3 linked regions of the Saccharomyces cerevisiae S288C genome follow. The gene in region 1 interacts genetically with each later gene. Each region holds a gene or a part of one and is shown on either strand. Other genes may lie near its edges. The genes, in order: PST1, YGR050C and AAD4.

The links.
Region 2: mutations in PST1 (region 1) and YGR050C together harm fitness more than expected from each alone (negative genetic interaction), as found in Saccharomyces cerevisiae (one large-scale study listed by BioGRID).
Region 3: mutations in PST1 (region 1) and AAD4 together harm fitness more than expected from each alone (negative genetic interaction), as found in Saccharomyces cerevisiae (one large-scale study listed by BioGRID).

Annotation. Positions count from the first base shown.
Region 1 is NC_001136.10:561,713-565,521, reverse strand, and holds PST1 (Pst1p), read right to left. Parts: upstream 1,996-3,809; coding exon 661-1,995; downstream 1-660. Other genes in the region: EMC10 (Emc10p), read left to right, coding at 1-499; SCF E2 ubiquitin-protein ligase catalytic subunit CDC34, read left to right, coding at 3,195-3,809. UniProt on the Saccharomyces cerevisiae protein: Has a partially redundant function to ECM33 in cell wall integrity. May be involved in a repair mechanism activated in response to cell wall damage.
Region 2 is NC_001139.9:591,448-594,440, reverse strand, and holds YGR050C (uncharacterized protein), read left to right. Parts: upstream 1-1,998; coding exon 1,999-2,355; downstream 2,356-2,993. Other genes in the region: protein kinase FMP48, read right to left, coding at 1-845; SCM4 (Scm4p), read right to left, coding at 2,564-2,993.
Region 3 is NC_001136.10:17,077-20,443, reverse strand, and holds AAD4 (putative aryl-alcohol dehydrogenase), read left to right. Parts: upstream 1-1,877; coding exon 1,878-2,867; downstream 2,868-3,367. Other genes in the region: YDL242W (uncharacterized protein), read right to left, coding at 1,132-1,485; THI13 (4-amino-5-hydroxymethyl-2-methylpyrimidine phosphate synthase), read right to left, coding at 3,218-3,367.

The sequences.
Region 1 (3,809 bases):
TGATAGTACATCCGATGGGAATGTTACAGTAACAACCGTTAATATACAGGATGTTGAAGTTTCTGGAGAATACTGTTTGAATGCCCAGATTGAAGGTAAGCTGGATATGCCATGTTTTAGCTACATGAAGCTGAGGACACCACTAAAATACGATTTAATTGTGGATGTAGATGAAGATAATGAGGTCAAACAAGTGTCGTTATCATATGACGAGACTAACGATGCTATTACTGCTACAGTCAGATATCCAGAAGCGGGACCTACTGCACCAGTCACCAAATTAAAGAAGAAAACCAAAACTTATGCTGATAAAAAAGCTAGTAAGAATAAGGATGGAAGCACTGCACAATTCGAAGAAGATGAAGAGGTTAAGGAGGTGTCTTGGTTTCAAAAGAACTGGAAAATGTTACTTTTAGGCCTATTGATTTACAATTTTGTTGCGGGCTCAGCAAAGAAGCAACAACAAGGAGGTGCCGGAGCTGATCAAAAGACTGAGTAAATAAAGTATTGTGATTTTTTAAATTTTTAAGTGTCGTTACTTTTATCTCTTTCCCGAAAATATTTGAATACATAAAATTTTTAAATAAATGTTTTTATTTGTTCACATGTCGTGAATGACAGGTACTAGTTATCAAAAATGAAGAATATTTCTTCATTCCATTACATTATAGACATGATGATTGCCGTCAAAAGACCGACCAAAGGGGTTGTTTGGCCAATTGGTGCCATGATAGCGGCATTGCCTTTGGAACTCTTAGAGCTAGAGCTGGAAGCGCCAGAACTAGAAACACTAGAGGCAGAAGCAGCAGCCTTGATATCGCCAGAAGTGAACTTCTTTTCCTCGGCCTTAGAAGATGACTTGGAAACCTTGGCAGTAGTTTGGCTTGATTGAGATTTGGAAGTGGACGATAGTTTAACAGATGTGGATGATGCACCATTTTTGCAGACAAAAGATTCACCCTTGATACCCCCTTTCTTTTGCAAAGCTTTCAAAGCATTACAGGAGAAATTGCTTGACTTTGATTCGACATCTGCGCCACCCTTGACAGACTTCAAAGAGTCTAGGTTCAAGGAGGTGAAGTTACCAACAACTTCCAAAGTACCGCCAATGGTTGTTAGGTTGTCGAGACCACCAATTTTTTGTAAACCAGTGTTGTTAGCAACGACAAGAGCACCACCTATGGTTGACAAATTAGAGAACGACAAGTTCTTCAAGTAGTCATTGGAAACGATACTGAAGGTTTGGCCAATGGTGTTTAGCTTAGTGAAATTCAAACTTGAGATGGAGTTGTTGATGAAACCCAATGAAGAGTTAATCTTTTGCAAGTTAGCGAAGGAAACAGAGTGGACATCGGTCAAACTGATATTGTTTGCCCAAACCAAGTCATCGAAGGTGATTTTAGTCTGGTTACCGTTGAACGAAAATTGTAAAGAATCGCTGACTGTTTCAACTGGAGATTTGATCGAGGTTAATTTCTTATTGTTATTGACGTTGAACACGTTAACTTTTTTCAAGGCTGAGAATCCATCGACAGATTGTAACGAAGTGTCGGAAATATAAATGTTGTTAGCAGATTTGATATTTGAAGTAAAACTGGAGATGGCGGGTAGAGTAATCAGTTTTATACTATCAACGCTCTGTAAAGACCCAAATGAAGCAGAAGTCAAGATTGTCAAACTCTGTAGGTTCAAAGAATCTGTGATGGACTCCAAGGAATCAGCAGCGAATGAGGTTAGATTTGTAGCGTTAAATATAGTTAGAGACCCGTTGATTTCTTTAACATTAGCCAAAGCACCAGTCTTCAAACCACCACCAATAGTTAAGTTCCCGACTAACGTATCACAGCGGCTATATTTATCTAAGTCACTCTGAGCTGTGGCCGTGGCATGTGAGCTTATGGTACAGGAAGAGGGTATGCTGGAAGAAGAGGAAGTAGCAGCCAAAGCTGACGTTATTAAGAGCGCAGTTGAAGCGATAAGTGAATGTAATTGCATGATATTTTTATAGCGAGCTTTTTTTTTTTGCTTCTCTCTTGGATTAGATCTATTGCAGCGTGATGTACTGTAAGATTCTATTGAACTATACAGAGCAAGAGTTGAATAGAGAAGAATATGCACGCTATTTATATGTTTATCTGTAGAGCATATATGGGTTTGCTCGTAAGGAACCTTGAGCGGTTGAATGATATTACTTAGAGTTAATGCTATGAAAACCCAGCCCAATCATTCAACATTACTCTTTGTAGTAATAAACTCTGATCAAAGTCCGAATCAGGGCAGTGTGCCTACGCTATTTTTAGAGACTCGTAACACTATTAAAACTAAAAGCCCTCTCTACTAATTAAGATATCCCAGCTTTGTGGTCTTTTTTGGGTTTCTTTGGTTTTTTTCCCTCAAGGATACCGAAAATGCGGGCCTTAATTTAAAGCCTTTTCCGTAAAGAGAAAACAAAAATGAGTTGGCGGGTCAACGGGGAGTGCTATTTTAAACGACTCAAATACATTTGAAAAAGAAAAAAATAGCCGCCCAGCTCCCACGTGCATATCACGTGCATTATAACCCGGTTTTCAGATAATAGAAATCCGCTCACTCTATTTATTTAAACGCTTTCTTTCTTTTTTTTTCTATTTATGGGGCCCACCCGCGGAAGAAAAGAAAAGCGGGCAATTACTAATGCGGGTTCAGTCCAAAGGAGATTTGATGTGGCAATAGCATCATAATGATGGAACCTACGTTAAGTGCGTTAAATAGGGAGAACTGTTTGTCACTTTATTCTTGTATACCGCTCTTAGTAATGATTTGTTTATGCTCTTTATCGTAACCTGCGCTTACAAAACTAACCACGTGCAGCATCGTCTTGTGTTTGTCCGTCCCTTGGGGTTCTTCGGATTTTCTATCTCCTCTTTTTTTTTCCTTACACTTTCATTTTGGGAAAAATTCGATTCTTTTTCTTTGATTTTTTTTTGGTTTCCTCTTGAATCTGTAAAGAACAAGAGCAGAAACTTAAAGTTAAGAAGGACAATAAAGAGCATACTATTACAAAATAATAGGAGCTTTGCGTTTGTTATTTCAGTCGAATAGTACTCCTTTATACTCTCTGCCGCTGACATCTTTGTCCTTTACTGTTTAGGACTTATAGCGACTGTTATTTTTTAGTACACCAAACAAGGAAAAAAGAACAATACAACGTAAATATGAGTAGTCGCAAAAGCACCGCTTCTAGCTTACTGTTACGGCAATATAGAGAACTTACTGATCCTAAGAAAGCTATTCCCTCATTTCATATAGAACTAGAGGATGATTCAAATATTTTCACTTGGAACATAGGTGTTATGGTGCTAAATGAGGATTCCATTTATCATGGAGGGTTTTTCAAAGCTCAAATGAGATTTCCGGAAGACTTTCCCTTTTCTCCACCACAGTTTCGATTTACGCCGGCTATCTACCATCCAAACGTTTACAGGGATGGCAGGCTTTGTATTTCTATTTTACATCAAAGTGGGGATCCTATGACCGACGAACCTGATGCTGAAACGTGGTCCCCCGTGCAGACCGTGGAAAGTGTGTTGATCTCTATAGTATCTCTATTAGAGGACCCCAATATCAACTCGCCAGCAAATGTCGATGCCGCTGTTGATTACAGAAAGAACCCTGAACAATACAAGCAAAGAGTCAAAATGGAAGTGGAAAGATCGAAACAAGATATCCCTAAAGGTTTCATAATGCCCACTTCTGAATCGGCGTACATATCTCAAAGTAAACTAGATGAACCAGAATCGAATAAGGATATGGCGGATAATTTTTGGTAT
Region 2 (2,993 bases), on another chromosome or scaffold:
GGTAGATCTTGCCATATGTACTGCCTCGTATGCTGCAGGCTAACGTGTAGGTCTTCTTCATCATTGTAACCACAGGAGAGCCTTGGTACTACGTATTTCCTGTAAATGAATGCAAATGGATCTTTTTCAAACTCATCGAAATTTTTTAGATGCTGAACCTTCTTTGATTTGGAGACTCTAAAAAGGCAATCGCCGAACATCAGATAAAATATGGTGGCACCCAATGACCAATAGTCAGCTTGGTATGTGTTATACAATGGAGCCGATGACCGATCGAAATTCTTCTTAAAACAAGAGTTACTAACGCGGCCAGAGAAAGTTTCTGGCGCCCTGTAATTATCGGTACCAATCTGGAAGTCGTTAGATTTAGGGGATTGGATAGCGTGACCCCAGTCTGCCAACTTGATGTCACCATTTATCGTTAGCAAAATATTTTCTGGTTTGATATCACGATGAGCAATACCCAAGCTGTGAGCAAAGCTGATTGCTGAGCACAGTTGTTTGATTATCTTTTGCATATCAATTTGAATCAAAGATGGAGACGACGGGCTACCTTGACTCTTAGCAATATCTAGAAAGTCATAAAGATCACCACATTCGCAGTATTCTAGCACCATGATGTAGTACGAGTCATCCGTGTAAAAGTCGAGCATCGAACAGATGTTGGGGTGAGGATTACAAGAACTCAAAATCTTCATTACATCATACTCGTTCTTCATGTTGGCTTCTGAAGTTTTGTATTTAGGAGTAATCTTTAAAGCGACGTAGCGGTTATGTGTAGTACTCCATGCTTTATAAACTGTGCTAAATGTTCCTGATTGTATAGATCTTAGTTTTGTATACATTTTTGCTTTTTATTATTCGGTATATGCTGATAATGATGTGCTTATTTAAATGATTGCGTATACGAGTGAGAATTTGATTCGGAGGGTATGAGAGTCGATCTTGAGTCCTATGTTATATGCTTTTTGTCAGTAACGGGTTATTTAATGCTAAGAATAGTTATTATAAAAGGGAAATTTTTTTGTATTAAGAATAGTCATCACTTACATGTGTATATTATATATATATATATATATGTATTGTACTCGTATTATTATTCTTTGGGGAAAGTATTAGTAGGTAGATGCAACTAAGCTCCGATTTTTCCAAAATTAAGTTGTCCCTTATTGCATGGTCCCCTTAATTATCCTTCCTTTATTGTATGTAACATGAAGCTGCATTTTTGTTCTCAGGCAGCATCATCGTTCCCTTCACCTAACCCTTCTAACTTCCTTTTACCTGTTGCAAGCTGTCTCATACCCGCGCTGAAAAGGCTGAGAACTGGGTATTGTCCCAATATTACGCTCGGCTTTTCTTTTCAAAAACTTTGTATTCCAGATACTTCCATGTGCAATTTCCCTAGTGCTCCCTGTACCAAGCCATCGGAGAGGAGATGCCTTCTAGAATTCAAAGCACGTAAGGGGTACAAAAATCGGAACGGGCCGAAGGCCGAAAAGAGACGGCCGTACGTGAGAGCACATGCAAAGTGGTGAACGGGACGTTACGGAGAATTACGGAACCTCTCAACAGAAGATGCGCCAATAGTCCTTCCGAACTAGCTCCACGGGAGGGGTATGAAGAGCAAGCTTGTTTACGCAGCCTCACCACCGCACCGAAAGACCCTCACGACAGAAATGGAGCGCCTTTAATGACGTTCGTCCGCTGCGGGCCAGAACAGCACAGTTTTGCTTCCCCGTTTCTTTTCCACTATTTCGTCACCCGCTCGAGGTGGCTCGCCCGCTCGGAGGCAAGCTGCACATTCATCGAACACGGAGAGGCACGGGCGAGAGAAAAAAAAGCCTATTGACCTAAACGGATGTCATAATGAAAAGAAGGAATCCGGTTTTCCTGGGCATGACTAAGGTAGCACGACTCAACTGGGCCAGATCGGTTGCTTCTTCCGATATACATGCATTAGATTAAGCCAAAGTAAAATCAAAAGAAAATTTAGCGGATATGAAAACCAATCTAATCTCCTCGTTTGCTTTCCGACCGCATGTAAGGTTCGGCTTTCTTGACTTCGGATATAGCTTAAAGTCGATTCTTGACGTCACTTCGCAATATCATTTCATTCCCATTAAACTGGCGTATGGACTTTGCGATCCTTTATTAATAGTTTATCCGGATCCCAGTTTTAGTTTGGCTCAAGCTGCAGGTGAAAAGAAAAAAGTCGTATTCCCTACGTATGAAGATGTTCCGAAACTACTGTTGACGTTTAAGCAGATTATGAATACGTATAGGAAGGGAAGTTTGGGACAGAGACAGAGACAGAGAGTGTACGGGCGAAATGGGAATGAATCACATTCTACGTAATTTGTCTTTGACTTTCTTAGAGATACGTATATAACTTTTTTTTCTGTGTGAAAAATAAATATTCTCTTATCCAATGTGGACAAGAGCCAAAAATACTCTGCTTTGTATATTTACTAGTTTTTTTGGCCTTTTTTTTCGCTAAACATATATATTAGTCTCGCTTAAATAATTGTGATGTTTGAAGGGAACGTGTCACGTGCTTCGTCGTTCATGCTTTGAATCCATCTAGGATACACTTACCAAAGGTAAAAATTGTTATACCGGTTACAATGCTCATGTGCAATGACATGTATGAGTGACATTTTACGCTTCTTTCGGATTCAGGTTTTAATGTTTTGGCGTTGTTCATCTTTGAGAATGGGCATGCAGCTTCCCCATCTTTGACTTCCGGGTGATGTTGGGGTAATTTTTCATCCTTTTGCTTTTCTAAATCATTTTGGTCACGTGTGCATTTTGGGGCTAGCTTGTGATTGAACAGTGATACTAAGTATAGGTAGGCTGCAGATAATGGGGCGACACCAAGTCCGCACAAAAGGTAGTTTGGTCTTTCTCCTGGTGCAGCTAGATAGTAGCTGAGTCCAAAGGCACCAGTAGCTAAACCACCTAAAACGGTGCTCCAGCATCCTAATGTGCACAAA
Region 3 (3,367 bases), 540 kb from region 1:
TTGCAAATAGTCAACATATTCAACTCGGAAGGTAAAAGATGAAAAGGCAATTTTTTTGATTTTCTAAGAAAATGCGCAGCGGGCAGAAGGGTCTTCGCAGGCAACTGAGTAAAGAATATGAGAAAAGCCTCTAAATGTTGAACCCTGAAAAAGTTTCATCTATTTTTGATAAAGACTTTTCAATAGTGCAGGATCACGCAAGAAAAAAAAAGGTCCTTAAGAGCAATTGTGGGAAAATATAATACAATGCTTGCGTTAAAACTTCTAGTTACCTTTTACAACCGAAAGTAAACACTAGCATGGGCTTGGAGACGAGCAGCGCAAATTATATAGTTTGAGATAGAACGCTTTCTCCGGTATTGCCTGGGGAAAAGGAGTCACATGATTAGAATCGGCGAAATTTTTTTTCCAAAATTAACAGCAGGGTTGTCTGGATGTTTTATTGAAAATAGAAGCCAATGACAAACACAAGAGGCCAGTAGTATATTAATTTTAATGTGCATTCTAAAGCATCCTCACGTCTTTCAATCTGAAGTTACTGTTCGAGAAGGAGAAGAAAAGAAGGAAAAATGAAGGATATGAATAATAACATGAGTACTAGTTACGTCCAATCTGGTCACACCATATATTGATGCATCTTATGCGCCATAACTTCTTTTTTTGTAGCTATAATTTGTTGCCAGAAAAATGAAAACTTTTCAAAATCAACCAGTTTCCAATTTTTCTGCAACTCGTTATTTATGAAGATAGATGATGATTGACCCCCTTTCTCCAAAAATCGATGCAGCATTGGGTTATTTTTTGAGCTTTCTAATTATAGGGCCATTTTCTAGCAAGACTGTATAGCACATGCTCGCAAAGAACATGGCGTAATGTTCATAAGAAACAAATTTTGTAAGTTTCTTGTGCCTTTTGAGTTTGAAATCATTGACCAGAACAATGAGAACTCTAAACACGACAAATGGATCTTAAATCAATTTTCTTGAAAACATCTTCCAGTTTCGATATTCGCACATTTGCCGGTAAAATAGTGCAATCTGCCTATACCTTTAAAATGGGATCTTGAACGCGTACCTGAAGGTTTTTTTAAATAAGGCCGAACCTAAATGTTGCCTTCAAAATTAACCTGTATCAAATTTTGAAGCCGAAGTTGGTATCCTCACATTGTCTAACCTCATGGTCTCCTAAAGTCCGGCGATCACTTTCCGTTGCGTGACTATTGATGATCAGACTGTCAACAATGTCGTTCCGGGCCTCCATAGCTTGAAGAATTTTCGTTGACGGAACTAGAGGAATGGCAGATGGAGATGACCTTAGTTTCATGTCGCCTTGATAGTTATCAAAGAGTACAGAAACAAGACGTCTCTTGCTCAATAATAAGGATTGGATCAGGTGCTTACAAATTTTATTCGTCATACAAACAATTACTAATATTTTTTTAATATTAAGCGTACCCCTATTTGATTGGCTCTCTTCTAAATTCATACGTTTTAAAATCCGCTTTCAACCGTCAACATAAAATTAGTAAGCAGACCTCGTTCCAAGACCCAACTAAGTTGCACTAAATATCCTCGAACAAATTGGGGGCAGATTTTTGAACCATATAAAAGTCATGACAATATTTCCAGATCAAGGACAGTTGCAGTTCTTCCTTTCATCGGCCAGCTGACGAATTGACTGAGCGGCTTTGTATTTCACTAGAATACACTTCCTATAGCTACAAAATATTATTCAATAATATTAGTGAATTATTTAAACCTCTACCTGAACCACCTACCGAGTTGGGACGTCTCAGGGTTCTTTCTAAAACTGCCGGCATAAGAGTTTCACCGCTAATTCTGGGAGGAGCTTCAATCGGCGATGCATGGTCAGGCTTTATGGGCTCTATGAATAAGGAACAGGCTTTTGAACTTCTTGATGCTTTTTATGAAGCAGGAGGTAATTGCATTGATACTGCAAACAGTTACCAAAATGAAGAGTCAGAGATTTGGATAGGTGAATGGATGAAATCAAGAAAGTTGCGTGACCAAATTGTAATTGCCACCAAGTTTACCGGAGATTATAAGAAGTATGAAGTAGGTGGCGGTAAAAGTGCCAACTATTGTGGTAATCACAAGCATAGTTTACATGTGAGTGTGAGGGATTCTCTCCGCAAATTGCAAACTGATTGGATTGATATACTTTACGTTCACTGGTGGGATTATATGAGTTCAATCGAAGAAGTTATGGATAGTTTGCATATTTTAGTTCAGCAGGGCAAAGTCCTCTATTTGGGTGTGTCTGATACACCTGCTTGGGTTGTTTCTGCGGCAAACTACTACGCCACATCTCATGGGAAAACTCCTTTTAGTATCTATCAAGGTAAATGGAATGTGTTGAACAGGGACTTTGAGCGCGATATCATTCCAATGGCCAGACATTTTGGTATGGCTCTAGCCCCATGGGATGTTATGGGAGGTGGAAGATTTCAGAGTAAAAAAGCAATGGAGGAACGGAAGAAGAATGGAGAGGGTCTGCGTACTGTTTCGGGTACTTCTAAACAGACGGATAAAGAGGTTAAGATCAGTGAAGCATTGGCCAAGGTTGCTGAGGAACATGGCACTGAGTCTGTTACTGCTATTGCTATTGCCTATGTTCGCTCTAAGGCGAAAAATGTTTTCCCATTGGTTGGTGGAAGGAAAATTGAACACCTCAAACAGAACATTGAGGCTTTAAGTATCAAACTGACACCAGAACAGATAGAATACTTAGAAAGTATTATTCCTTTTGATGTTGGTTTTCCTACTAATTTTATCGGTGATGATCCGGCTGTTACCAAGAAGGCTTCACTTCTCACGGCAATGTCTGCGCAGATTTCCTTCGATTAATCAGATTTCTTTTTTGGTGCGTTTGTGTAAGAAATATGTCCTTATATATTCCACGCTATCTACTTTTATACTTTTGAATAAGCCGCACCTAAAAACAGTCTTTATCCCTCACCTAATTCAGGCGTAAATTGTGCAGGTTACAGCATTTGAAGTGGTAAATCGAGGCAACACAAGACTTTCGATACTTGGAGGCAAGTACGATAATTACAAGGGAAAAGAAGCTGTAATAAAAGGCTCATAAATAATATCTTAATAGTAAATATCTAAATATCAGGGAGGAAAAAAAACCTAATGGGAAATCATAAACAAGTCGTAGAGGAAGGCTACGCTCGAGGAGTGACGAAGTGCGTTTAAGCTGGAAGAGCCAATCTCTTGAAAGTACCTTCCTGTCTGCATTTTTCTTGATGAATAGCCATCAATCTTTGGGCTTCCAAAGGATCAGAAACCTCTTCTGGTTCTGGCCAGGACAGGTATTCATTAGTGTAGTTCGAGACATAGTC